4 linked regions of the Arabidopsis thaliana genome follow. The protein of the gene in region 1 interacts with the protein of each later gene in a pairwise test. Each region holds a gene or a part of one and is shown on either strand. Other genes may lie near its edges.

The links.
Region 2: the proteins of ZML1 (region 1) and SCL21 interact in binary tests that used the Arabidopsis thaliana proteins (3 or more experiments, as listed by UniProt).
Region 3: the proteins of ZML1 (region 1) and AtPOT1a interact in a two-hybrid assay, tested with the Arabidopsis thaliana proteins (one study listed by BioGRID).
Region 4: the proteins of ZML1 (region 1) and bbx23 interact in binary tests that used the Arabidopsis thaliana proteins (3 or more experiments, as listed by UniProt).

What each region holds. Positions count from the first base shown.
Region 1 is NC_003074.8:7,418,828-7,426,554, reverse strand, and holds ZML1 (ZIM-like 1), read right to left. Parts: upstream 4,520-7,727; 5' UTR 4,334-4,519; intron 3,734-4,333; 5' UTR 3,724-3,733; coding exon 3,430-3,723; intron 3,314-3,429; coding exon 3,221-3,313; intron 3,148-3,220; coding exon 3,014-3,147; intron 2,926-3,013; coding exon 2,794-2,925; coding exon of another isoform or gene 2,790-2,793; exon of another isoform or gene 2,423-2,789; coding exon 2,317-2,422; intron 2,190-2,316; coding exon 2,118-2,189; intron 2,020-2,117; coding exon 1,957-2,019; 3' UTR 1,650-1,956; downstream 1-1,649. Other genes in the region: ACA9 (autoinhibited Ca(2+)-ATPase 9), read right to left, coding at 1-76, 147-259, 347-386, 483-785; AT3G21170 (F-box/associated interaction domain protein), read right to left, coding at 5,395-6,582. UniProt on the Arabidopsis thaliana protein: Transcriptional activator that specifically binds 5'-GATA-3' or 5'-GAT-3' motifs within gene promoters.
Region 2 is NC_003071.7:1,718,435-1,725,503, reverse strand, and holds SCL21 (SCARECROW-like 21), read left to right. Parts: upstream 1-2,899; 5' UTR 2,900-2,913; coding exon of another isoform or gene 2,914-3,004; 5' UTR 3,005-3,223; intron 3,224-3,604; 5' UTR 3,605-3,687; coding exon 3,688-4,929; 3' UTR 4,930-5,143; downstream 5,144-7,069. Other genes in the region: AT2G04910 (Carbohydrate-binding X8 domain superfamily protein), read left to right, coding at 1,150-1,524; AT2G04900 (uncharacterized protein), read right to left, coding at 1,898-1,997, 2,471-2,514, 2,599-2,679, 2,764-2,834, 2,914-3,004; ZAP1 (zinc-dependent activator protein-1), read right to left, coding at 5,285-5,768, 5,865-6,020, 6,124-6,947. UniProt on the Arabidopsis thaliana protein: Probable transcription factor involved in plant development.
Region 3 is NC_003071.7:1,887,855-1,896,361, forward strand, and holds AtPOT1a (Nucleic acid-binding, OB-fold-like protein), read left to right. Parts: upstream 1-2,829; 5' UTR 2,830-3,390; intron 3,391-3,616; 5' UTR 3,617-3,696; intron 3,697-3,859; 5' UTR 3,860-3,959; coding exon 3,960-4,086; intron 4,087-4,220; coding exon 4,221-4,357; intron 4,358-4,429; coding exon 4,430-4,622; intron 4,623-4,727; coding exon 4,728-4,825; intron 4,826-4,978; coding exon 4,979-5,058; intron 5,059-5,199; coding exon 5,200-5,466; intron 5,467-5,570; coding exon 5,571-5,647; intron 5,648-5,754; coding exon 5,755-5,813; intron 5,814-5,894; coding exon 5,895-6,053; intron 6,054-6,135; coding exon 6,136-6,342; 3' UTR 6,343-6,660; downstream 6,661-8,507. Other genes in the region: AT2G05220 (Ribosomal S17 family protein), read right to left, coding at 6,903-7,325. UniProt on the Arabidopsis thaliana protein: Component of the telomerase ribonucleoprotein (RNP) complex that is essential for the positive regulation of telomere length. Binds RNA non-specifically. Binds specifically single-stranded telomeric DNA.
Region 4 is NC_003075.7:6,367,094-6,373,112, reverse strand, and holds bbx23 (B-box zinc finger family protein), read left to right. Parts: upstream 1-3,162; 5' UTR 3,163-3,586; coding exon 3,587-3,787; intron 3,788-3,858; coding exon 3,859-4,146; 3' UTR 4,147-4,284; downstream 4,285-6,019. Other genes in the region: AT4G10260 (pfkB-like carbohydrate kinase family protein), read left to right, coding at 343-519, 594-1,004, 1,079-1,213, 1,292-1,408, 1,493-1,627; ATHSP22.0 (HSP20-like chaperones superfamily protein), read right to left, coding at 1,989-2,576; AT4G10230 (no-apical-meristem-associated carboxy-terminal domain protein), read right to left, coding at 5,928-6,019. UniProt on the Arabidopsis thaliana protein: Probable transcription factor that may be involved in seedling photomorphogenesis.

The sequences.
Region 1 (7,727 bases):
TATCTATCACCTCTTTCTCATCCTCATTGATTCCTTGTTCCATATTTGACTTCAACTTCTCTGCAACACCTTTGACCTGAAAGATATATTAATGTCAGCATCAAGAAACCTTCCTATTTATGGAATGTGTGAGTCTTGAATCATACCCCTCCATATTGCTGCAAATTGGACATGTTCTGGTTCCTTGTCATAGACACAAGCTTTTCAAGATCAATGTCAAAGTTACCAGTAGAAGCTGCTGGTGTTGATGATCCAAACGCTAATTGATACCAAAAGAAACTAAAGATTATTCAACAAGAAACCAGAAAACAAAACAGAGATTTGCTTGACTTATAAGAGATCATACCAATTTGTTGTTCACCAGCCAGTTTAAAAAGCAATGCTGCCTGATTCATAAAAGTGATTTATCGATGTGAGATTCAATTAAACAAACAACATTGTTGTTGAAATGATAGGAAGAATTATATAAAGAAAATACATACCCTAATGACTTGAGCATGAGCTCTGATCATCCTCCTTCGATTATCATAATGTTCTTCTTTATTAAGATCCAAAGTGTATCGAAACCGACGCGATGCGTTCAACACAAGAGCGGCTTGTCTCCAACGACGAAGAGATTCAACAGAAGCGTTCTTGGTGTTATCAATATCAAAAGGATCATCAGGATCATGTTGAAGCTCTTCATGATCAGAATGTTCTTCAGTTTTAGCAGAACCAGCTTCCATGTCGTCATGACGTCCTGACATTGACGTCAGAAGCAATCCGTTGCTCGACGAAGTGCTCATTCTTCCTTCCTTCGTCTCACCCAGCTTTCTTCTTTCTTTTAAAATTCTATTGAAGAATTCGAAACAAAAAACGCAGAGAAAGAAAAAATAGGAACGACCGGTTTTATGATTTGGTCGTTATGGAGAAAAAAAATGATGGTGTGACGGAAGAGAGAAGGCCTAACTCGAGAGAAGGCAACAAAAACCGAAACACTTTCTCTCTTTTTTTTCTCTTACCTCTCTGTCAATCACAGAGAAAAAAAAGAGAAACTAATTTTTGAGTTTCTAACCAACATTAATATTTTGATTTACCCTAAAAAAAAACTATGAAAGAAAATGGAGAGAGGGTTCAAATTGAATGAGATCATTACTATTTTTGGTTTGGTTTGGCAAAATTTGTGGGAAGTTAGTTTTTTTTTGTTTCTTTTTATGGGAAAGAGAAGAAGAAAGAGTTTTTTCCGGGTAAGAAGAAGAAGAAGAACATGGTGGCATCTCTTAACATGGCATATATCTAACCATCTCATTTTTTAAAACAAAAATCTTTCCTTCTTCTCAGATCTAACTATGTTTTCGTTTTGTAATAAGTGGTATACCATTCATCTTTATAACTTATAAAATTATTCTAGTATTCTGATATACTATTGTTCACCTCGTATCATGTGAAGAATGGTACACTAATTATCTTCATACCTTAATCAGTTCTTTCTAATCAAGTTTCCAATAAAGATAATGGAAAAGAATAAAACAATGTGACAGAGAGAATAGTGAAGTTGCTGAGAAATTTCGTTTTAACCTGATGAACGTGTGTACGACATTAAGGTCACTTGGGTTGCACGACATAACCAATCATTGTTTCTATTTTTATACATAGATTGCATTATCTCTACTAAGTCTTAAATATTTAACTAATTGTAATCAAATACAAGAACAAAAAAAAGTTTTCTGCCTGAAAATATAATCAAACACACAGATGAGAGACTGAGCAAAGTTTTTTTTTTCTTTTCTGATGAGTGAGCTTCTAAATAAGTGAAGAGTGTCTTATAATTTGTAGAAGACTAAAATGTGCCCACATAGACTGAGATTAACCCAGAGAAACCCTAAACACAACTCAGATTCGATTCCATCATCAAATGAAATGATAACAACTGTTTTTGTTTGAGATCCTTTCTTGCTTCCAATGGTTTCTCAGTTCTCACTGTGTGTTGCTAATGTCACCAGTTACTTCCATCATTTGATCAGCCTCAAGATTTGCGTCCTGCAACAAAAGTGATTGAGAAAAAAAAAATGAATGTATGTTCTCTTAATAAGCAAATCAAAACTCCAGCTCTATGAAATACTGCGCTCACGGCTCACCTCATTCTTATTCAGAGATAGATGCTGAGGTGTTTGCGGAGGAGGGACTTTGGATAGGTCTCTAAGAGTCCCCTGATATTATAAAGTCAAAGGGAATGTTATTGTTAGGTTCATACTCGGATATATAGGCCTGATCAATGAGTCAAAAAAGTGATACGAGACGAGGTGATCAATGTGAACTAAGAAACTCTTAGCTTACCTTGTTTGCCCACATCAGTCCACACGCATTACAAAGTGTTCTTGGCCCATCAGGTCCACGTCGCATCATTGGAGTTGACTTCTCACTTGTTCCACAGTGTCGACATCTTAACATGTTCACAACCATTTGACGAAGAATAAGAACAGAGACAAGCTTTCCAAGTATACCAAGCTATAAATAAGTTCATATCAACTACAATGACTTAACATGCAACAACATAGTCGGTTCAGTTATTTTTATCCTCTCACAAGTATAAGTTATCAGTTGCAGGTATCGAATGAGTGATGCCATCATGATAAGTATAACTATAAATTTCAGAGTTGACGTATATAGACAAAGTTTATGGAAGTGAAAAGAGCGTCATTAAATGGTTACCAAATAAATTGTTTCCATGTATTAGACTTAATTGAGGTTTTATAACGAGTTCACTAAAGTTAATATAACTGTTGTAAGAAATTTAAAGCATTTTCAACTTACAAAACCTCTGGCTTCTGAGTCTCAGTCCCTTCTACGGCCCAGCTCTGGTTTGACCCCCAATCCGATCCAGTGGATCCAGAATCATCATTGCTTGATTTAGCCGACGTGAACTGACCTTTCTTACGCTGCATTCTGCATGAACAAACAAAACCTTAATTGCAAAACAGACGTATCTCAAAAGCTCGACATACACAAAAGCTAGTACTTGACATAAACGTACCTCAAGGCTACTTCTTTCCTGACTGTATAGCGAATAGTCTTATCAAAGTTCCTCCCTTTTCGTTTCTCCCTAAACCTGAGCAAAGAAGCTAACCGCTGCGGAACGCTAAGCCGTTGAGGAGTACCAGATAGACCCTGGTTCATTTATTAGTCAGCAACAAACTGGGGAATAAACTGATTTCCCATATGGTATTAAATCTTTTATTACCAGTACCCTATTGTTCTGATGAGGTGATCCTAGGGTTGTTGGGAGTGTATGTGGTACTTCCCTTCCACCAAGTAACAAAAGCACAGCTTGAACCTGCATAATATTGAGCAGCACTTCAATAAGCGAAAAACAAAACCAACCAGGTGGATACGTTGACCATATGTATCCAAAACTAAAACATCAAAGAACCAAAATTAACTTAAAGTTACCTTCTCAGGCGAGACACGGTCAAAAACATAAACTTGTCCCTGGAAGGACAATGTCAATTGATCTCCATTTTCAATTCCACGGTCTACAACTTCACCACGATTATCAGCTGAGTTTCCAGGGTGAGAAGGAATGTCTGTCTCCACTCCTTCATCCATCCCACCATCAGCATGGTCATCCATCATACTGTTTTCATTGTCGATATGGTGCAAACCGTGATCTTCATACTGCACATGCATTGGATTTTGCGCTACACCAATGTGCATTCGACCATTTCTTCCATGAAGATCATCCATGGTCTTTTTTCTGCAATTTGTTACCAATTACATCCAAAGGAAGATAACATTAATTAAGACTGGAACGTTCTTAATAACGAAAAAGCGAGATTGTCAGAGACGGTATAGGTTGAAGAAACTCAATAATGGTGGATATATTCTCACATAAATTGAGTTTGCAAATACAAAGAAACTATCTCCACCTAAGGGAAAGGAACTTCATTAATAGTTATCAGCACTGATATAGTACAAAGGAGCTTCTTTTATAACAAGAGTAGATGACAATAATCTAATCTCGAGTAAACAACAACTAACAACAGTCAACTACCTTAAAACGTAACAATATCTACCCAAATCCAGTAAAAAAAGTTTCATCAATCAGATTCGAATTGGAAAAAAAGTCTCCTTCTCTCATGCTCATAAGTCCTAAGCTAAGTCCCAACCTTTAAGCTAAGAACAAATAGACAGAACAATTCCAAATCCCACATATAAATGCTTCCAACTAAAAACCCTCCAAATTCGACAAGTTCATCTACAAACTAGAACCCACTACCTATATCATACATACAAAGACTTGTCACTTGGACAGGGCAATCAAAACAATAAACCAAAATTGACATCAAATGGGTACCTTTTGTGCAGAGGAATCCAAGCGAGAAGAATGAAGAGCCTTTGCAGAGCTAATTCACGCGAAACAATGAAAGATAAAGAGGATTTGATTATACAAAGAGAGAAAAAGGTTTAGGGAAAAATCCCAAAAGGGTAAACGGAGACGAGAGCGAAAAAAGGAAGCTCCTTTGATTTTTTTTTTCTTTTTTGGTCTAATGATTGTAGTGAAAGATTTTTCATTTTTCTTCAGCAAACGTCGTCGTTGTGATCTTGGGCCTTTTTTAGCCAAACGGCGTCGTCTTTGTGAAAGGCTTGACACTCCCTATTCTTTGGACCTCATCTTTAATTGGCCTCTATTTGAGTTCATATGTTTTTCTTTAGTGGTTTCAGGTTTGATCAAGATACACATTTACTCTTAATGATGCCAAAGATATAAAGACATTGGAGATGGTTTAAGGTCGCCAAGGTTTTTCACATAATTCTTTTAATCTCTTTTGTCAAGATATCTTTCTTTTACCAAATGACAATGTGGAATTACATTAGTTAATTCAATTTGTACCCATCTTTAAAAACTTCTTGTTGTTTTGGTTAGAAATCATATATAATTATAATATATCTCTACAAATAAACCATCTTAACACAAAATATCTTAAGTTAGATGGAACCACAACCAATTCTTCGGTGGAAAACAATTGACTCAACTATATCTAATATGTCAGATTTTAAAACTAAATTGCGTTCCTCTTTCATTTCTTAATTCCACAATATACAATTTTATTTTGATTTTATTTGCTTTTCCCTTATTCTTGCACAAAATTTACATATGTTTTGCTCTAATATGTTCTAAGCATTTCTAATTTTTTTCCTTTTCAAAATTTTGGTACTTAATAACTAATTGACCAATTATGAAAATGCCATGTGCCTCGAATTATCCACTAGCAAAAGGGTAGCAACAAGTTATAACTTAGAAATGCGTACATATATCTTACTTATAAAATATCAAGAGTTAGATTAGATAATGCATAGACTAGTGTGACAATTACAAGGCCATGCACTGGCTGACTTGGTGCCTCCTCCAAAGAACTAAATACCATGTTGAATTTGAACCAAACTTGGAACATATATGAGGAGACGTGGGGTAGGAGATAATTCATGTGTAGGTTTTGCACCATGATGATCCAATTCTATGAATTTATCATTTTCCACAATGTGTATGATGTCCTTGGAGTGCCGGTTGGGTCTATGACAAGAAACTACAACAATCTTCTCCTTAACTTGGTATGCGAAGAAACTCACCCCTTCCCTAAAATGACAACGATAGCGTAGACCAACTCCGCCCCGCAGTATTGGGAACTTGCTCCATGACATTGCTCTGGTGTTCTCACTAGTCTTCGTTGCTATCCATAAGTTAACGTTTGTTCCGGTTACGTATGTGTAATTAGTAGATAACATACAAAGTCGTTTCCCTTGTCTAGTCACTGATAAAGCCAAATGACTATCACCCTCTGGGAGAGACTCACTTCCAAATCTCTCTGTTGAGAAATCAAAACTTAGTAAGAATTGTTCACTAATATCAAACCAGTAAGTGATTCCATTTACAGACACGCCACTGGTGATATTTGGATTGAACAAGCCGGTGATCACACCAATACTCCTCCACGAATTAGAGTTAAAGTCATAGATTTCGTACTCGTAACGTTCTTGGCTATTGTTGATAACAAGATCCTCCCCCACGATGTTGTACACGTAACGTTCTTCGCTAGGATTGATAAGACGACCCTGCCTCAAGATTTTGTACTTGTTGCAAGAGGATCTACCGAGAGCATAGCAGTCATCTTTCTTGTAGCAAAATCTTGGTTGAATCCACCTTGTTTCACCTGAAAGCGGATTCCAAACCACCAGTCTATAGTCCTTGGTGGTGCATAGCAATAAGCCATCGCAGTGAAAGACGTGGCCTATATCGACTTCTGTTGAATAATTATTAGAAAGATGTTCTTTTAGGCTAAAATGACATGTTATGTTAACATATGGAGCAACGCTATTGTGAATTCCACGGAGATTGGATCTCACTGAATAAACCTTATGATCAATCAACACGAGAGCCATAGAGTGCCTTGGAGCATTAGAAGAGTGCTTCTTAGAAAGTTTCCCATCTTTGATCAAAGTGTTCCATCGTTTGGATGTTGATCGTAATCGTGCTAGAAATACAGCCGGAACTCTAGAGAGTATCTCCACTACCAAATCCTCCGGAAGGTCGTTGAACGTCATCATCTCTCACACGACTGTGATTAAACCAATTTTCAAAGAATCAAGATGGAGAGACGATAGAATCAAGATTTTTAATCTTCTTCTTTTTTTTTCTTTGATTTACTCTATAAATATGGGAAGATCATTTATATATATAGGAAGGAGGAGATCACGTAATTGTCTTTTATTTTATCCTTTACACTAATAAATATGGAGATTTTTTCTTTTTGTCCACACAGATTTTTAACTTCTTTTTTTCCTAAATTTAATTCTTACTATCTTTCTTTTTTCTCAACATTTATTTATCATTATTAATTTTTTCTATTTCTGTGGTTATAATTTTGTAACATTAAAAGCATATTCAATTAAAATTAAATGTAAATAATTTTATATAAATATGGGAAGATCATTTTTTTTCTTTTTACTTACTCAATAAATATGGGAAGATCATATATATACTTAATATATTTCTATTGTATAACTCAAAATGCTTCTAAGTAATAATTGACTTGTGGGGTTATATCTTTGAACATTATATATCTCTGCCCTACTCCTTTAATTTTTCATGAAGTCATCATACTTACATATTTAATAGACTAATAAATTAAAATGTGTATTTCACTAAAAGTTTGATAAATCAATTCTCATTTTGCATTTGCTAATGTACCTGAATCTATCTACCTATAGTCCCAAGGCACTTGTAAAATAAAATTGGCCTTATGAAATTTTACAAACTAGTATATCCTTGAAAACCAAGATTTTTGATCAAAATGTAAATGAGGCCAGGAACCAAAACCTATCCAGAAAATATCATCTTCCGAGTCAATGAAACCTATGTGACATGCAACTCTATAACCATATCAAATTACACAAAAGACGCAAAGCCAATGTGATAATTAGGATCATTCATAGACCCACCAAGTGTTTCACTGGTCATGGTGTTATAAAAGAAATATGTATGCTTCCTTCACAAAAGAAAACCAACATTACACAACTATTTGTTGTGACTTTCAACTGTTTCAAGACACTAGCTCTGGTCTGGTACTTACCTTTTTGCCTTCTCCAAGACACCTTGTCACAATTCCATGGAGATCGAGACTCACTAATTAAACCCTATAATCAATCAACTTGATAACCAGAGGAGACTGCCGTTGTGTCTAAGCAGAGTC
Region 2 (7,069 bases), on another chromosome or scaffold:
ACAAGGATACGCAGATAAAAGTATTATTGCATAGACGCAGTTTCACAAATGTCTATGAATCTTCTTTTCATAATAGAAGTGGAGAACCAACAATGGTGATAGCCTATAAAAAGGCACCTGGTGATGTGTTACAAACAACCATATACTAGGCTTGTCAAGCCAGTGGAGCAGACTGCAATAAGATTAAAGCCTAACCAACCTTAGCTTGTTTCAAGGCCAGCAGGCCAACACTATCAAGGACCATGCCTTCGTTGTCTTCAATAATTATTACCAGCGTTATAAGCACAATGGAGGTTCTAGTTACTTTAATGGCGCATCACCGATTTTTTAAAAACATTTATCTATTTATGACTAAGAGGTTCCGAGCTAAGCACATACATTCTCACAAGCTGGGAACCAAAACATTTTATTTGGTCTGCACATTCATCCTCTTAGGCGGGAACCAAACCATTTTAATTTATATGGTTCTCTCCCGAGTGCCACTCAAAAATGATCATGGATTGCGACCCTAGTATGCAATTCTGGCTAAATCCTTTGGTTTTAGGAGGCTTAAAGTTCTGCTTCCAATATTGTTGTGTTTCAAAGTTGGTGGTGCAATAAATTTCACCTACATATCTTGTTTTACTCATTTGTTATTTTTGGTGCACATGCAATAAAGATTAGATGTTTCACTTTTCTCTTCTTCTCCAGCTAATGAAACAGATATTATATTCAAATGTAGAACTTCAATAAGATATATGGTATTAAAATTACATCAATTTGGTAATTGACATTATCCATTCTGAAACAAAATAAGCTATATATGATAAGCTTGACCACATTCCATATAACATAACTCATATATATTTGAATCAAATTCATAGTCAACAAAATTTGGCAGTTGATATGACTTACACCTAAATATAAGATCTTACATAATTCATTCTTTATTTTGTTGGTCAGAGTATAATCCATTCTAAACACAGAATACTAACACTATAAAATACTCGAGTTATAACCATCTTTAAGCTCTCAAACAGTTCAACTTGCCTCTTGTAAAAGATGAAAACTTTTTGTTTAGGGATAGCAATTGCTCTACTTTTCATAACAGTAACGTTTTCAGGTACAATATTATTGTAACATACACATAATCTCAAAGATCTCTATAACATGGGGTATCTTATTTTTGTAGCGAAAGCGGAGTTCGGACAATGGTGTGTAGCCGATGGACAGATACCAGATAATGTGATACAAGCAGCCGTAGACTGGGCTTGTCAAACAGGTGGAGCAGACTGCAGTACGATTCAGCCTAACCAGCCTTGCTTCTTGCCCAACACTGTCAAGGACCATGCCTCTGTTGTCTTCAATAACTATTACCAGCGTTATAAGCGCAACGGCGGTTCCTGTAACTTCAACAGCACTGCATTTATCACACAAACCGACCCTAGTAAGCAACTTTATCTAAACCCTTTTTGTTACAGTTATTTAAGCTCTTTGATCAATCAAAATCTTGAACCATCTGTTTCTGATTATCTCATGATTTGATAGGTCACGATTCGTGCCATTTTGAGTATGTGCCATTTTGAGTATGTCCAATGATTCAAAGGAAAGACCAAGATGAAATGAAAGATGATGAATTATACTACCGGTGAACAATATAAACAAATCTTTGTTGGAACTTGGAAGTTCTTGTAATGTAGAATTTTGATAAATTGTATGGTAATAAGATTACATTAATATGGTCGTCATTTACATAATCCCTTTAGCAACAAACTGAACAAGTAAAGGAAGATGCTTAATGGTTGTCGACACAGAATTGTTATTAAGCAATCTCTTAGGTAAACAAAAAAAAACAGTGAGTTCATATGTAGGATAAGCTTGACCACAAACTTGACAATATAGATGGTTATGAGATTGTTTAGAAAAGTAAAGTTGCCCATGCAGCAATGAACGCAAAGCCTCCGAATGGTGCCAATGTCGAAAACTTTCTGTCCTCCCGCAGCGCTACCATATAACACCTGCAACAACATTTCAACACACATGAAACTTCTCACATACTCATACCCGGAAATAGACTATTGAACACAAAACTAAAGTTATCTACTAAGCATCTAAAATATAGTTACTTCTCCAAAGAGCATACCTTCACATATCAAAGGAAGTACAAAGGGGACAAATACCATTCATTAACTCAAATACAAAGACCTATGCTATTAAATAAGTGATACAATGGTTTCCAAATGCTTCAGAGTTGGACACATGTCGAAATCGATAAAATCTCCCTAGCCACGAAGAATTGTGGCAAGTATTGCTACTGCTAGAGATTAGATATGAATTCTAGAAAGTCCAAATCATATCTAAATAGCTCAAATATCCATGAATGCACTACTATAACCTCAATGACAAGACATCCAACAAACATCTAGCACAAAAGCTCTACCATACACATCTCAAACTGAAGAATCTGAGAAACAAAAAGATAACAACTTACGTGCCGGAAAAGGCTACAATTCCAGCAGTCAACAAGCCACCAAACTAAGCAAGAAAAAGATATGTCAGCTCCATCAACTCTCAAAGGACAAAGATTAGAGAAACAGAGTACAAGAAGAGAAAGCTAACAATGTTGGGATATTTGGTGCTAGGAGCAGAAACAAGAGCAGCAGTGTGAACCAAATGGTAAAGTGAAGCCGTTTGCCACACCTGAACAACAACAAAAAAACCTAAACTTTCTCACAGAAATCCAACAAAGTATCGAATTTTCCAACAATTTTCAAGAATCTAAACCTGTTTGTAAGAAGGGTTCTCTGGTTTAAAGACATGAGCACCATAAGTTCCCAAACCAAGAGCAGCCATACCTAAACCAATTCTATCCGAATCAGTACCTTTCCTCACAAGATCAAAATCAAAAGATCATTACTTTATCTTAAATCTCACCGGAAATAGCGGCGACTTTGTGCCACATCCGAGGATCCATCGATCGTCGTCCTCTGATGTCTCTTAGATTGCTTCTTACACTATTTCCCATTTGACCAGAGACTTTAAGCGAGATGTGTCAAGTCGGTGATCGGGTCTTATTCGGTTTAAGCCTAAAACGACGTCGTATGTGATGTGTTATTTTCTTCACTACAGCAACTAAAAAGATTCTTCCTTTTGCTTCAGCTGCGAGCTTTGGTTGGATCTCTCACTTGCAAAACCAAATCCCTTATCGACTTCCACCGAAAGATCACTTCTTAACCTACACAAGGTTTGTTTTTCTCATAAAAATCAAACCTTTATTCTCTTTTCTTGATGATTTTGATGCTCTGCTTCTTCTTATCCACAAAACATGAAAACATTTCTTCTTTGATAAGTTTGATGTTGGTTTGTTGTAAATGATTGCTCTTTCTAGCAAGCTTTACTCTAAAGTGTGAAGAGAAATTGTCAAATTAGTTTGTTTAGGATTGGAACTCTTGTATGCCTTGTTTATTGATGAAGTAGTTCATGGCTGACGTAGATTCATAGAGTCATGAGTTGATTTCAATGATACTAGAGTTCTTGTTAGAGTTTTGATCTCCATGGATATTATTGTTCAATATTGATATCTAATTCAGTCTCTGATTAATGACTTTGTCTATGAATTCTACAGGTGTTTGTTATGAAGATCAGATAAATAAAAGGTCATTTGAGGATAATGGTTGATGTTCAAAGATTCTTACTTGCTTATTTGTGATGGACAATGTAAGAGGTTCAATAATGTTGCAGCCACTGCCAGAGATAGCTGAGAGTATCGATGATGCTATCTGCCATGAACTCTCCATGTGGCCTGATGATGCTAAAGATTTGTTATTGATAGTGGAGGCAATATCAAGGGGAGACTTGAAGTTGGTACTTGTTGCTTGTGCAAAAGCTGTTTCTGAGAATAATCTTCTAATGGCACGATGGTGTATGGGTGAGTTGCGCGGTATGGTTTCGATTTCTGGTGAGCCAATCCAGAGATTGGGAGCTTATATGTTAGAAGGGCTTGTTGCTAGGCTTGCTGCTTCTGGTAGTTCGATATATAAGTCTCTCCAGTCCAGAGAACCAGAGAGTTATGAATTTTTATCTTATGTGTATGTTCTGCATGAGGTTTGTCCATATTTCAAGTTTGGATACATGTCAGCGAATGGTGCGATTGCAGAAGCAATGAAGGATGAAGAGAGGATTCACATTATTGACTTCCAAATTGGACAAGGGAGCCAGTGGATAGCACTTATCCAGGCTTTTGCAGCTAGGCCTGGTGGGGCTCCAAATATTCGAATTACCGGAGTTGGTGATGGATCTGTCTTGGTTACAGTCAAGAAGAGACTAGAGAAACTTGCAAAGAAGTTTGATGTTCCATTCAGGTTCAATGCGGTTTCAAGGCCAAGTTGTGAAGTTGAAGTGGAAAATCTTGATGTCCGAGATGGCGAAGCCCTTGGAGTGAACTTTGCTTACATGCTGCATCATTTGCCAGATGAGAGTGTAAGCATGGAAAACCACAGGGACCGGTTGCTGAGGATGGTGAAGAGTCTATCACCTAAAGTAGTCACTCTTGTGGAACAAGAATGCAACACGAACACTTCCCCTTTCCTTCCTAGGTTCCTTGAGACATTAAGTTATTACACGGCAATGTTCGAATCTATCGATGTTATGCTTCCGAGAAATCACAAGGAAAGGATCAATATCGAGCAGCACTGCATGGCAAGGGATGTCGTCAACATCATAGCTTGTGAAGGAGCCGAGAGGATCGAAAGACACGAGCTTCTCGGGAAATGGAAGTCAAGGTTTTCCATGGCGGGTTTTGAGCCATACCCCTTGAGCTCAATCATTTCAGCCACCATTAGAGCCCTCTTGAGAGATTACAGCAACGGGTATGCGATTGAAGAAAGAGATGGTGCTCTGTACCTTGGTTGGATGGACCGAATCTTGGTCTCATCTTGTGCATGGAAGTGAAAGAATAAACGTCTCCAAGAATGTAATGCAAAAGACAGAACTGGAAGTAATAGATAGTTTTGTCTCATAACCATTAATAAGGTTGAATCAAATCATATACATCCCCATGCTACAACTATTACACAGGCTCCATCAACAAAGAAGGGCTCTTGTTGTGTTACCTTCTCTTCCTGTAACTCTTATTTGAACCAAATGGAAGTGGTTACATAAAGGTATTAAAGCATACTATTCCATTAAACACTAATCTAAATCTGGTCCCGCCTGAACAACAACTGTACAGTCTATAACCATATCGCCTGTACTAATCTATGTTAAAACAGCCATATAAATTACCACTCGGTACAACACTGAATGCTTAGCTTTGGGCAGGCTCTGTCTTGGGTTTTTGTTCCTCGCTCTCCAGGGTTCCTACTGCCTTCTCTTGACAAACAGTGGTTTTATCATCTGACTTTGCTTCCGGCTTGGCGTGATTGGCTGCGTGATCTTTGTTTGCATCTGATCTCTCTTTTATTTCCTCCTTCAGCTTCTCATCCAAAACTGGACCTTGATCAAGACTTTTCTCAAAGCCATTAGTCTTCGTTTTCTTTCTTAAGTGATCTTCGACATGCTGGTCTTTTGTAATGGATTGAAGAGTTGAGCTCTGTGGAGTCTTGTTGGCATCTCCTTCTTTATCATCAACTTCCGAGTCCAGCATGTTATTATGAGTAACAACTCTTCCTGGAGGCATATCGTGGTCGTGTTTTCCCTCGTAAGTTGTTATAAGCAACTTTGTGTCATGAGATGACCTCTCTACGTGTTTCTTGACGGGGCATCCAGGGCTTGAACATCTATAGTAGCTCCTAATACATAAAACATCAAATGGAGAAAGAACGTGAGCAGCGAAGAATGAAACCAAAAGTTTGACATTATATTTCAAACATGTAAGCAGTCACTACCTTGGATATGGGCTGCCTTTTACTGATTTCTGACCATATTTACGCCATCGGTACCCATCATTCACAATATCAAACAGAGTCTGAGTGTGAACCACAATGCGTGAATCATTGGTTGACCTCTCCACTGGACTCAGCTCAATGTTCCCTCCTTTCTTCCTGATTTAGTGACATCAACATAAGAAGAAAAAACAAGGAACACCAATGGTGAAGTCTTCCTCCAGAACCATGAAAAACAAACCGACATATCAATCATCAATACCTTCGCTTTGCGGTAGGACTATTATAATCCTTGTGAGTGTTGTCCCCCGTTATCCTACTTGATTGTGAAATATCAGTTTTCACATCATCAGCTGGTGGAATAACTGAAACATGTAATCCTCCATGGATCTTTGGTGGTTCGGTTTGACGAAGTGTCTGAACACTGGATCCAGATGTTTTCTCTACAAACATGATATCATAAGAAACAATGCACAGCTTATAAATTAGAGAAACTATATCTATTCTTTGTTCACCTTTACTAACAGCTGTGAAGACATCACTTCGCTTATCCTGATTGATAGGAACAGCACCAGCAAGAGGCTTTGGGTGATCATGTTCCCCAAAGTAAACGGTATCCACGACTTGTCCACCCGCAGACCGTTCCAACTGTTTTTTCGCTTTGCAGTTAGGGTGAGTGCACCTGTAATAGCTCCTTACAAACTCATTTCCTTTCACAAGTTTCTGTCCATATTTCCGCCAGTTGTATCCGTCTTCCATAACCTTCTCACGAATAAAAGGACTATTCCCTTCCGAACCAGACTGCAAAGATAATGCACCGCTACTTTCAGAAACCTTCGGTGCTTTCTCGGATACCGGGGAAGCAACATCTACTTCCGACTGCGAAGCTACCGTATGTGGAACAAGTTTTTCAAGCTCCTTACAGTCAGTAGATTCCAAACTTTCAACAACGGTTTCAGTTCTAGTTACAGCCACTGGTATGACCTCCGCTTTATCAGTAGTGGCAACAACATCATCCACTGCTTTAGTCTCATTTGAATGGTCTAACTCCATATCACTAGCCAGAACTTTTCCCACCTCAGCCATAAATACTAACAAACTCAAGTAAACTCAAAACCGGAGAGACTCGAGCTTAACCCCAAATATATCTAATTCCCAAAGCCTGAAGGAGAAATCAAAACAAACAAAAACCAAATCATTACAGTGAA
Region 3 (8,507 bases), on another chromosome or scaffold:
ATGTGTTGGTATAAACAACCATATGGATTGCACATCTTGGACACACATCAATGGACAATGTTGCATTTGTTTACCATTAATGTGTCATCGCTGGATATGGATCCATTATATAATTATGATAATGTCCATACTCTATACACAAGTGAATATTGGTCAAAGAAAAATGGACGGTGTATTTCTGTTGAGATTGAGTTCTTGATTAAATATGTAAGATAAAATGCTTCAATGAGAACATGAATAAGAAGAAGAAGCTCAAGCAAAAGAAGAATATGCATGGGAGAAGATGAAATAATAAGTGATTGGGCTAATTGTTTTGTTAGGCCTAAATGAGTAAGTGTGTTATGTTAGTTAAAGTTTAGCTTAGTGAAGAGTTGTTAGAGTTGTTGTTGTGTAGGAGTTGTTGGTAAACCTTGCTTGTAAGCTTGGGTATACCTTAGAGACTAGAGTAATGATGTCTTAAAGTAAGGTCTAGGTCTAAGTAGAAGCATAATGCAAGTGTGTACTTAGTAGAAGTAAACTAGTATGAATATGTGTGTGTATGTCTTATAATAAGAATCTATCTTTGAATCCAATACAAAAATGTTGACAACTAATGTTTTCACTTTTCTCTCTCTTACTAATCGTTTTATGTCTTCGTGTCAAAACAAGAAACTAACCAAAGACTGAGAGAATGAGAGTGAAGGTTCTTTTTGTGCTTGAGTTAAAATGAGTGAGTGAAACAAAGCATTAAAGAGAACTAAGAGATGTAAGAGAAGTGAACCTCTAAAAGTTAAATAGAGGAAGAACCCAAAAGTTCAACAAATTTTTTATCAACGATTATTGTTCATGTATAAATTTGTGCATTGATATAAAACAAACTGTGAGTTACTAGGTGACCATTTGGACTTGATTGTTTGGACACTCGTCAGTGAACAATTATATCTTTAAAAAGAATATCTAAATGATTTAGAATGACTAAATGTTCTTTAAGAATCAGATGGATGAAACTTTGTGGACAACAATCGTACCAAAAGCACCACATATAGCTTTTCCAATTCTTAACATGTAAGACCAAAAGATTCACAACTCTCATCATAACAATCTGCACAATCCACGATGCGTCATCCATAATGTGCCATCCATATAAACATTCCATTATCGTCATCCACATTGTTAGAACTAAGATACAAACATTCCATAAACAAGCAAAATCTAAAATCTAAAAAGCCAACAATCATATGATCAGTTTAACGTCATCAAATTCAAGAGAGTGGCCAAGTGCTATGCAATGATAAGAGTATCCATATACATGTGAACAAATTGTCAAAACAAATTGGTGATTGCAGCTAATGTAAAAAGTCATATGGATATAGAGGTGTGGATAGGTGTGTGATCTAAACACATCATTTCTAGATCCGGAAGATGTATCTGTTGGGAAACGATAGCTCCAATAAAACCAAATATCACATCTTCCCTAGCATTTTTGAGATAGAAAGAGATTAACACAAAGTTATTGTTAGCCAAAGTTTTTGAAGACCAACTACGTATCTATAGGCTGGAAATAGAGCAAAAATTAAACAAGGAATTCAAGGTGTTCCCAGAGAAGGGTATTAGAATTTTAACTGGAAAACTAGATGCATTTTAACAAATCAAATTTCAATGTCAATTCACAACATTCATATCACTGGATCCTAACTTGGGATTGAGTCAACTACTTAATTTAAAATTCTTCAAGTAATTTGTCAAATCGATCCTAACTTGGGATTGAATCCTATCTTACTATTTATCAATTTAACATTCAATCTTAAGAAACAGATAAAGCCAAGTAAAAATCCAATACGAGAGAGGATAAAATTTGGTTAAAGATGCTCTTACCTCTCCCAAACAATGATTCAGTTTTTCTTCTTCCCCAATTCAAACATCCTTAGTGATCTGAGTTGAGACCAATATTTTCTGTCTTAATCTTCGGCGAATTGGATTTCTAATGTTAATAATCCTTCGATAAGAAACGATGGTGGTGGCCATAAGTTTTCCAGCGAATGGAGAAAAATATACAAAAGTAAAAAAAAAAAAAAAAAATTAGGGTAAACATAGATTTTGATTGTGAATTTAGGATAACCTCATAATTTTCATGATTTTGTAAAAATTATAGAGAACGACAATGATTTTGAAAGAGAGATTGAAAATGATGAAAAACAAAAGAATATGGAAGAGAGAGATGATAAAAGGGGGATAGTTTCTTACCCACACGATCTCATCAAAAATAAGTTTAATAATTATTGTGTCATCATTACTTCAGGGGTAAATTAGTCCAATTTCTCCTCAAAAAGATGGCAAAGTGCCTAATCCCTGAAAAGTGCCTCAAAAGGAATAAAATTCTTTAAAAGTGTCTAAACGTGTCACATTCCCTTATCATTTTAGTCCTTTAATTTTTATATATTCAAAATATTTCAACACTTTGACTCGTAATCTACAGATTAAAAATAAAGAGACTTATCTATCTCTTCGTAATGCATTGATTGATCACATATGAGAGCATTACGAAAATAATTTTATTGAGTAATTTGTAATTTATAAGTTAATTTATGTATTTTTAATTTTTATTTATATGTATTTTATTTATAAATGTATTGTTTTGTTAATTAAGATTATGTGTAATATTTTAATGTATGTTTTAGTGTTATTATTAAAGTTATATAGTTTTAAAATAATTATGAACAATATAAAGACTATAATGCAAAACACATATTTTAGAAACTTCATATTTAAAGTATACTCTTGGAGAAGAAACTACTCATACTTTATATTTGAAGTTTACATACTCTATATATAAAATATCTTTTGGATATGCTCTAAATTATATTGGATTATCTTTTAGAGAACCTAAAACTTTATATTTGAGGGATAGAGTATCTCTTGGAGATGCTCGTGGTAGTTCAATATTGTACCTTAACTGTAACGTAAATGTTGTTATCTTTACTTAGACGTCTTTGATATGTAAAAATTCTATCTCTGTATCCTGTTTGTACTGGCCTCTCCAAGGTTCACCATTATTGGATGATGCACTGGGTTGATATATATAACATAACTTTTTGGCAAAAAAAAGAAACAAGAAAAAAAAAACAGTCTCTTTGGCGATAGCGATTTGGTCGGAGATTTCTCCGATTACATTGATTGGGACTTTAGTGAATCTTCACAGAAGCAACTTCACGGAGAACGGCGAGAAGAATGTGGAATTGAGAGCGTCGTTAGAGGATCGAGAAGCGTCGGCCGTTTCACTGGAGAGATCTAGTGTTGTTCGTTGATGAAGGGGTTCTAATTTCGATACCTAACGGAATTGATCATTGATAAGGTCTCATTCCGGTGGCAATCGTCGTCGCCGGAAACAATGTGCACAGATACGACCTTGAGGTTAGTTTATTCCTTTAAAATCTAATCACAACAAAATATATCATTTGTATTCATGGGATTATGTTCATTGTAATGGATTTGAGGATTTGGTAGATAAAAGTAGTAAAAATTGTGGATTGAAGAATTTTCTTGTGAGAGATGGTTGATGTAAGGGAAGGATCATATTCTGGAACATTTGTTAGCTTTGGTTACTTCTCACCATTGTGATGAAATTTGCTATATCCAGGGGATGATTCAAGTGAGAGAAAGATAAAGTTTTTTTGCCTTCAGTCTGATTCTGCATTGAATACTTCCAGTGGGCTGCAGGTTAGTGCTTAGTGTTCTTTTGATATCCTTGCATTGTCATTCCGTTGATGGCTATTCTATTGCCTCCAATGTATACTCATTCCACTTATTGGCTCCAATGTATACTCATTCCACTTATTGCCTCCAATGTATACTCACTCCACTTATTGGCTATGGGCTGCAGGTTGGTGCTTAGTGTTCTGTTGATACTCATTCCACATATTACCACTCTCTAATTTTGTGACGTCAGGATAATACTTAAAAACGTTGTAGCAAAGCGGGAGATGGCGAAGAAGAGAGAGAGTCCCAAGCTCATCAAAATCAAAGACGCCATTAAACTCATCAACCAACAAGTCAGTCTCATTGGTATCGTCCTTGAACAAAGAGAACCAAAACAATGTCGCAACAATGGTACTTATCCAAAAAAAACCAAAATTTGAGTTAAATACATAGAATTTTGCTTGAATCTGAATCTTAGTTGGTTTGTTTTGTGAAAGCCCTAACATTTGACCCAACAAAATCTGAAAGTTGGATTTTTTTCTTAGATTGGATTTGTACGCTACGGATAATTGATGATACGTATCCAAGTCCTGGACTTACTGTTAATGTATTTAGTAAGACTCTTGAACAACTTCCTCAAATCAAGAACCACGACGACATGATTCTGTTTACTCGCATTAAGGTACAAAGACCTCTTCATTTTCCTTCTGTGTTTTGTGCAGGAGGTTATAAAGTTTGGATTTTTATTGTGTAGATGCAAACTTTTGATAGTGGAGAAAGAGTAAATGCTGCTTGTAGTAGATGGGTTTCTTCCTTTGCCTTGTTCGAAGGTGTGGATTTTGTTTGTTACCAATGTAGTACCAATTTTCATGAAGAAGAAGCATTATACAAGAGTGCCATGGATGATTTACGCAAAGTTTTTGCGGGTTGTAGCCAAGTTATTAAAGGTAACACTGTGAGCTTCTTTTGCTTTCAACTATGCATATAGTATAATGGCTTTGGATAGCTTGGAACGATTCTCATAAGCTTTCATTTACTGTTTTGGTACTTAGCTATGCAGAGTATATCTTACAGAACAAAACCTTGCTCCGAAGTTTTTTCCTTCTTGAGAGAGATCAAGATAGGAAAACGCTTTGATTTGGTGTGCAGGGTAATATGCTCTATACTCTCTATTAACTGTGAGAAAGCTTTTTAACTCTTCATTCCTCTATACCACTTCATTGTTACTTCAAATCTTTTTTTGGCTCCTTTTATGTTTTGTTGACTGATCCTACCTTGTTTCCTGCTGTTTCTTGTGATGGAGATTCTCCATGCCGATGAAGATACTAGCGCTGTTTTTGTTTGGGACGGGACTGATGCACCCCCAGCATCTATTCTGGCTAAGTGAGTATTAACTGCGAAGGAAAAAAGTTTTAAATCCTCACATTATCTGTTTTGAGTCATTCATTTAGGCTTGACTCTACGCTTTCCATATCCTACGCTTACTCTTCTTCTATTTGGTGTACAATGTTTGGCTATCGACAGGAGAAGTGAAGAAGACAAGGCATTTAGCAGTCTCTCTGTTCATACTTTACTGTCAAGAGATGTACTGCTCAGCTTTCCAACCGTTGGAACGATCTTGAGAGTTCATCTAAGCAGTCATCTATTTTATCGGGTTAAACCTGGTGATTGGGTGAAACTTTACCATTTACTCTGTGAAGTTGATAGAGGATCTTGGGTAATCAAAGTTACCAGCTCTACAAAGGTTCATCATCTCGCTCAAGATGATCGTTTAGTTGAAAAGATCATGAGGTTTGTACTTCTTGATATTTCTTTCAGTAACTACTTCCGACCTTTTTGCATACCATGAGAATCTCTTACCATTTTGTTTTATAATCTAATGTGCCAAAAACTAGGATATATGATAAGAGACTATCATCAAAGTTGGGACACATTTCATTCTGGTGTTTTCCGTCACCTCCTGGATTAACAGGTTGCAATACTTCTCTTTTACTTAATGAGCAGGATCTAATCTCAACGAATGTTTTTCTCTGTGTCAATCTTTAGACAGACTTCCTTAACATTCTTGGTGTCTTGCAGAGACAGATGACAATTGTGCCCCATTTGTTACACTGATGGACATCATAACATTCCCCAAGGTACCATTCATGAATCTATTTGCTGTATTCCCTGAAAAGATTAAGAATACTTTTATGTGATCGCCTACGTTGTTATTACAGGTTACATGCAAGTACAGATGTATTGTTCGGGTTGTAGCTGCATATCCTTGGCAAGTAGAGGATTTCTGTTCAGATGAGAATCGCCGTCACCACCAAGTTTTGTTGACACTGGAGGATTCAACAGCGACTTTAGAGGCTTTCTTATGCAATAAAGACGCAGTAAATACACCATTTGGTCTATTTGCATCTAAACTGTCAACAAAGATCGTCTCTGATAGCCTAATCTAGATTTTATTGGCAGGAGTACTTTTGGGGTTTAGGGTTTCAGGACACAGAGACGCTGAGGAAGAAGCGGAATTGGTTGCTCGGTATACGGGAAAGCTCGAACTTTGTGGCTCCAAGAAATCCACCATGGATCGAGTGCTGCATCCTCTCCTACTATACTAACAAAGCTGACCCGTGGAATACTAGATTATACAGAATCTTTGGTACTAGACTACTTCATTAAGTATTTGTAAGTGTTAAAAGAGGATTAAATAGTTTAGTATTAGGCTCATGTTAAGAATGTTGGATTTGGCTTACTTAAGTATGGTAGTTGTGTTGTTTTAGTTCATGAAGACCTTGTAACCAAAAGAACATCTTCATGATATTAACCAAATCCAAAGACTGAACACAAAAATATCTTCCTCTAGACCTAAAGAGTTAATAGAAGCAGCAGGCAATATACACATTTTCATTGTGGAACAACTCTACCTTGTTCAAAGTTTTAAAATGGTTTCGACCTGTGGAATGTTTCACTAACAGTCCTTCATAAAACTCCACAATCTTCGCTGATACAACAACTCTCCCATGAATCAACTCGGATCTGATAAGCAAAAAGTATTGGTACTATCAAATGTTTGAACTCCAATTTTGGTTCCACATAACTTAAAAACCATTAATACGAAAGAGTCTCACATTGAGTTTAAGACATAATCAGAAGAAACAATAAACAACCACACAAGTCTTTCTTGTCCCTAACTGAGAAAAAAGAGAGCCAATCGTAGCTGATGATTAGCTGAGGCCATCTTAGTATCTTCTGGGTGCCCTGCCGCCGAAAGCAGCGATTGGTGCCATAGCTTGTTGTGGCTCGACTGCAGAGATGCCGGATGTGTCAGACATTCCTAGAGAAGCAAGCATCTCAAGAGTCTCTTTGTCGACCTTGATCTCATCAGTCTTGATAGCAGACTCATCGGGAACAAAGTCCATACGGCGTTCACGCTCTTCTTCTTGAAGCTTGAGTGAGATTCCACGGACTGGTCCCTTCTGGATACGTTTCATCAAGTGGGTGGAGAATCCAGCAATCTTGTTGCGGAGTCTCTTTGATGGGATGATGGCAACCTCTTCAAGGATCTTCTTGTTAGTGTGAAAGTCAAGAGTCATGCGAGAGTAGTACTTCTCAATGACTTGACGTGAAGATTTCTTCACCGTCTTGGTTCTAACACGCCCCATCTTTCAGTGACTTACCTGATGAGAGGAGAAATTCCATGTCTTATTAAGGATTCAAAATCAAGAAACAACCAAGTATAGATGATTTATGTCTTAAACTTCAACATTCAGGTTGAACACTAAACAAACACAGGAACCACATGTAAATGCAATGTCAAATATTGTCAAGAGAATTGAAAATGAGTCAAGTAATATACATCAACATAACGCTCAACTTGAAAGAGGTCTAGTGTTCTTATCAAACAATATAAGCCAAATTTTATACATACATTTATATTCAGCCTAAAAGAATATCAACTCACGACACACTTTTGCTGAATGAAACACAAAATAAGAGAAATTCAGAAAACAACAGAACCTCTTCACACGTTGGTATAATATACAATGCCTAATATTAAGACCAAAAACTCAACTGCATTAGAATCTTAATTAATCAGATACAAAAGCTACATTATCAATTTTGACACATGAACATCAAAATCAAGCAACCTATAACAATTCACACAGATACAACAAGAATAGCAAACTATCAAGTCAAAAGTCATGTAAACGTGTTCACTATTATCCACTAGTCTTCTCAAATTGATTTCATCTTAGTTAGTAGATGAAACCCAAATTCAACATTACAGTAATCAACACAAACAAGTGAGAGTGGGCAATATAAATCTAATGTTGTCAAACCCATTACTCAAAATCTACAGACCTAAAGAACTTACAATCGAAATCTAATGTTGTCTGAGATCAGATTTATGAATACTCACCGGAGACAGAGATGGAGACGGAGACGGAGACGGAGACGAAGAGAGGCAGAGAGCGATTTCGATTTGGAGATGCGAGAGAGGCGGAGAGAAGTAGAGAAAATAGGGTTGGTGAAACATTAACCTTATATAGGGCTTCTAATACTCGGTTTAGGTTAACCCGATCGGACTCTGATAACCGAACTGACCCGAACCGAATACCGATAGCCCAAATTAATTTTTCCGAACGGTTTACTTCTCTGCTACTTCAATTCGCAATGATTCGGTTCTTCCGGTTTGCTTTACTCGGGTTTAACCGGAAATCCAGGCCTATATGATTTTTAGGGTATATGGTTCAATTTTTGATTATTTGTTTTCGATTTATTTTATTAAATGATAAATAAATAAATATGTTTTAAGAAAGTTTAAGGTATAGGGTTTAATTTTG
Region 4 (6,019 bases), on another chromosome or scaffold:
TCTTGAGTCTTGAACTAATGATTAATCTCTTTTCATAAGATTTGTTCAAATCGGATTTTTCAGTTACTGCAACTAAGTAAGAAAGACTTAAACTTTGAATATAAATACAGAGAATTTGGTACGTTGTGTGTGACAAAGATTTATTTCTGTTGATATAATTAGGACCCTAAATTGGAGGTTTGTTACAGTCAAAAGTTTGTACTGAGTTTTTACTACAAGTTAGGGATTTTGTTAAATGCTTATCCCATTTTTCATGCAGTTCTGTTGCTAATTCTCCAGCTTAATAAAGAGAGGTTAATTTTGTTTGGTTTATGTGTGTGAACATTTCTTGTCTGAGTAAAGATGGCTAATACTCCATTGATAGTTTCCTTTGGTGAAATGCTTATCGACTTTGTCCCTGACACTTCTGGTGTTTCTTTAGCTGAGTCCACCGGTTTTCTCAAAGCCCCTGGTGGTGCTCCTGCTAATGTTGCTTGTGCCATCACCAAACTCGGTGGCAAATCAGCTTTCATCGGCAAGGTTTGTATAATTTATGTTAGAATCTATTAACTGATGGTGAAAAGTGATATGTGATTGTGTAATGTCTTTTATAGTTTGGTGATGATGAGTTTGGACACATGTTGGTTAACATATTGAAGAAGAACGGTGTGAACAGTGAAGGTGTTTGCTTTGATACCAATGCAAGAACCGCGTTGGCCTTTGTGACTTTGAAGAAAGATGGTGAGAGAGAGTTTATGTTTTACAGGAACCCTAGTGCGGACATGCTCTTGAAAGAATCTGAACTCAACAAGGATCTTATCAAGAAAGCTAAGATTTTCCACTATGGTTCCATTAGCTTGATCTCTGAGCCATGTAGAACAGCTCACATGGCTGCGATGAAAACCGCTAAAGATGCGGGAGTCTTACTCTCTTATGACCCGAACGTTCGGTTGCCTCTTTGGCCTTCTACTGAAGCTGCTATAGAAGGCATCAAAAGTATTTGGAATGAGGCTGATATTATCAAGGTATGTTTGTTTTTGTTGTAACAACCGGACTCGTGTTTTCGATGATCTTAGTGTTCGAGTTTCGTGATGTGTAGGTAAGCGATGATGAGGTAACGTTTCTAACGCGTGGAGATGCGGAGAAGGATGATGTTGTTTTGTCTCTTATGCATGATAAGCTTAAGCTGCTTATTGTTACTGATGGAGAGAAAGGTTGCAGATACTACACAAAGGTAAGGGATCAAATTCGACATGATTGTGTGTGTTTTGGAGTTATCTAAACAAAGTTTTTCGACTGTCGAAAAGCGCAGAAATTCAAAGGGAGAGTGCCTGGATACGCTGTGAAAGCAGTTGACACAACTGGAGCTGGTGATTCATTTGTTGGTGCATTTCTTGTCTCATTGGGAAAAGATGGCTCCATACTCGATGTACGTATAACCAAAGACGTTTTCAGTTCATAGATAAGGCATATGAAATTGAGTTTTGGTGATTGAGTAATGTGAATGTTGCAGGATGAAGGGAAGCTGAAGGAAGCACTTGCCTTTGCAAATGCATGTGGAGCAGTGTGTACTACTCAGAAAGGAGCTATTCCTGCACTTCCCACTCCAGCTGATGCTCAAAAGCTCATGAAATCTAAGTCTAAATAGTTTCAATCTTGTTCTGTTCTGTTTCTGTTTCTTCACTCTTGTCAATTTCCTTGGTTTTCACAGAGTATTTTCTCTGTTATCTGAATAAATCTAGTTTCAAGTTTCTGCCAAAATTGATTCCAAACTAATTCATATACCTTGATTTTTAATTACATGACTAATGTTCTATAACAAATAATCAAGAGGCTCTATAATATAAAGAAATGAACATTTTATTGCATATAGAGAAGGTTACAGAGATTTTGGTAGATAGGTTACAAAACATGACACTCCATTTAGCTTACACAATATGAAACTCAAAACTCTTGGATTTATAATAACTCTCTTCAGACTCAGAAAGTAATATATAGTTTCTTCAATATCAGAGTTCTTTGGATTCAGAAGAGCTGATTTTTGCAGTTTGGTCTTCTTCAGCTGCAATGTTAACAACTCTTGGACCCTTAACTTTTTCAGGAGATAGTTTCGTGAGGTTAATAGTGAGCACACCATTCTCAAGCTTGGCCTTGACTGATTCCATATCTACATTATCAGGTAGCTTGAACTGTCTCCAGAATTTTCCATATGATCTCTCCACTCTATGCCATTGATCTCCTTTCTTCTCTTCTTCTCTTTTCCTCTCTCCACTGACTCGTAAAACTCCGTTCTCCTCCACTTCTATCTTTACTTCATCCTTCTTCAAACCGGGGATATCGAGCATTATCTCATGCCCTTCTGCTGTTTCTTTCCAGTCTACTCTTGCTGGAGACAGAGCCACGCTTGTGTCCCTCTCGAGTCCTAATGGGATTCTCTCCAAGATCTTGAATGGATCAGGGAACCGGTCTAGCCAGAGATCGGATAGCAAGCTGCCTGGAGTAGTTTCAAGTGCAGAAGACAAAGACCCTTCACTTGTTTTGATGTTTCCAAGCAACAAAGCTCCTATGAAGAAGATGCTTAGCAAGTGCTTCATCATGGTTAGTGATTTGGATTTATTGTAGAAGGTTGAAACCAAAATTTTAGGCTTTTAACTTCACTTTCTTATTTTGTTTTCTATGATGGTTAGTCTCAATTCTCTGGTGTATATATAATACACATTGTATGAAGAATGAAGAAGTTTCTTGAAATATCTTTCTTTTGGTAGAGTTTTGCAGAGAGAGATATTGAGATTGTTCTAGCTTTTTTGGCTGTGACTTGTACTAATTATGTTACTACACGTTGGATAAGTTTGTTGTGCCTTTAAGGGTCTTCTCTCATGTTCCAGAGACTTCATGTAAAAACTATGGATTGGATTGGGCCTTAATAGTTATTTATATCCAGGCCTATTTTTATTGGCCCATTATGATATTTGGGACCAATTCTGTTTGTGATGAGTCTTAGAATTTTGGCTGCTGCATGGGAAAGGAATGGGAGAGAGTTTGAATGATGCCATGCTCCATTTCAGTTTCTGACAACATTTTAGAGTTTTTGACCTCTATTGCCCTATGGCTAGTTACTTTTAATTCCACAGTCTTTATGCATATTGTGGTCCTGCCTTTACTTTTGGCTTGCCATGCTTGTGTCTTAAGAGAAGCTTGTCGCTATGTTTGTCAATTTATGTTTTCAAAAGAAAGTAAAACTATACAAGCTTCTGAAAAAGATCTTGTCATGGAGATTTTGGTAGGAGAACATTTATTGGTTTAAATGCCACCCAAAGTTGGTCTAATAACCCCATATTGAGATAAAAATTTCGTCTTCGACATATCGTTGTATATCTATATATAGTTCTCTCTTTTCATGAATAAAGATCATCAATTCCTCTTGGTATCAGAGCCAGGTTTTGATATAACTTATGATCCCACCACACATGTGAACTTATTTAAGCTTGTTCTTTCTTGTTTCCTATATTTAGATTCACTCCTTGTCCTAATTCTCATAAATGTCAAAGAACATTTGTTCTGTCTGTGTATTGGCAATTTACATTGATTTGGATTATAAAGTTGAAGGATGAAGATACAATGTGAAGTGTGTGAAAAGGCTGAAGCAGAAGTACTTTGTTGTTCAGATGAAGCTGTACTATGCAAGCCATGTGACATTAAGGTTCATGAAGCTAATAAACTTTTCCAAAGACATCACCGAGTCGCCTTACAAAAAGATGCAGCCTCAGCCACCACAGCTTCTGGAGCTCCTCTATGTGATATCTGCCAGGTTCCAATCTCTTTTCTCTTTAAACACTCGCTGAGCTCTTTAACCGATGTCTCATATATATGTATATGCAGGAGAGAAAAGGGTACTTCTTCTGCTTAGAGGATAGAGCAATGCTGTGCAATGATTGTGATGAAGCCATTCACACTTGCAATTCTCACCAAAGATTCTTACTTTCTGGAGTACAAGTTTCTGATCAGTCTTTGACTGAAAACTCCGAATGCAGCACTAGTTTTAGCTCTGAAACTTACCAGATTCAGTCAAAAGTGTCTCTGAATAGTCAGTACTCTAGTGAGGAAACTGAAGCTGGAAACTCAGGTGAGATAGTACACAAGAATCCTTCTGTAATCTTAAGTCCTTAGAGATATACACACAACATCATGGTTCCGGAGCCATTGATGTTTAATAATAAAAGTTTCTGTAATATATTATCTTACACAGAAGAAAAACTTGTTGAGGAATCAAATCTTTTTGTTACAACAAATATTAAAACCATGACTTAACAACTAAAGTCAGTGGTCATGGCATCGACACAACCAAAGCTAAGTTGTTCCAATAGTTTCAAGAATTGTAGAAATGTGAATACTATTTGAATCGATCTTAGATATATAAACAAAATTTAAAAAATGAATAAATAATTATTGATTAAATATAATTATTTATCTCAAATATCAAGACTTGGATAGAAAATGCATAACTTAATGAGACAGTCATAGATTACTACTATTAGCTCTTGTACTTTCTTTTTGCCTCACTACAAGAACTATAGACCTTGTTGGATTTGAACCAACGTTGGAACATAACTGATTAAGAAGTGACCATTGAGATTCTTCCTCATCATGATCCAATTGTATACATTTATCTTCTCCCACAACGTGTAAAAAAACGTTGGAGACCCCATGCTTACCACGACACACCAAAACTTTGTTCTCCTGGTCGACCAAAAATTTATCCCACTAGCAAACCAAAAAGGCTTGTAGAAACTTTCTCCATGACGCGGCTCCGGTACCGTCAATCTTAGTTGCAATCCCTACATGATACATCTATATCGCCTACTCGCATGCCACGAGTAGCTAACATACAACATTTTTGATCTTCTCTAGTCACTGATAAAGTGATAGGATGATGATAAAAAGGATGATCACCCGGGAGAGACACACTTGTAAATCTCTCTATTGAAAAATCCAAACAAAGTAAGAATTCCCCACTTTCTATGTCTTGCGTGCAAGCAAGCCAGTAAGTATTTCCATTTACAGACATGACATGCTCTTTTAACCGTGGTCCGTGGTATGAACCAGTCGCTATCTTCACCAACAAATCTCCACGAATTAGGGGTAAAGTCATATATTTCATACCTAAACAAGACTATTGATTACTGAACAAGTTCTCTATAGTGTACAATAAACCTGGAAAAAAAGTTTGATTCATAATGGGATGTTAGACTCTTGTAGTCTTGTTAATATTCCAAACCTAGTGGTATAAGATTTTTAATCAGAAAGAACATCAAATTCTTGAAAAATGATCTTTACAATGCTAGTCAAGGAAAACTAAATAGATGACTGCTCCCTGATTCTTGATCAAACAAAACTTTCACTTTCAATCATTGACAGTACGTAACTTAATATTTTCTGGCATGAGTTCATTTATATCTAAGGCCAAGTCCAACGCCACGGGAAAACGTTAAAATAACGTGGGCATGTTTACTTTTTCACTCCAATCAGACGGTATAATTTGCACTATAATAGTGTGATTCTCTTTTTTTGTACAGTGTAACACTATATTTGATGCACTACTGTAGCCACGGCAAATATTAAAATAATAATTTTTTCTTTTGTGTTAACATTATTATATATTAAAATAGCTTATTTAGTTATAATAGATTATATATGATTTGTAATGAGATTTAAGTAATCTAACTAAGGGTTGTAACTAAAAAATAATTTATAAGTACTATTTTTGTAATCTTTAATTTAATAAAATGATGGATTAGTAGAAAATATTAAAACTAATACCGAAGTTGATTGAAAATACAATAAAATAAATTATACATTTATAACATAATTAAAAAATTAAAACCACACAAACATAAAAACTAAATGCAACAAGATATGTTTTAAAAACATAACAAAAGCTTCACAAATGGTTAAGGAAAATTATTTCCGGTTCCGCTAAGATAATTATAATATTGGGTAAAATCTTCTTGGTTATTTGGTGATCTTTTGTCTTCACCTTGAT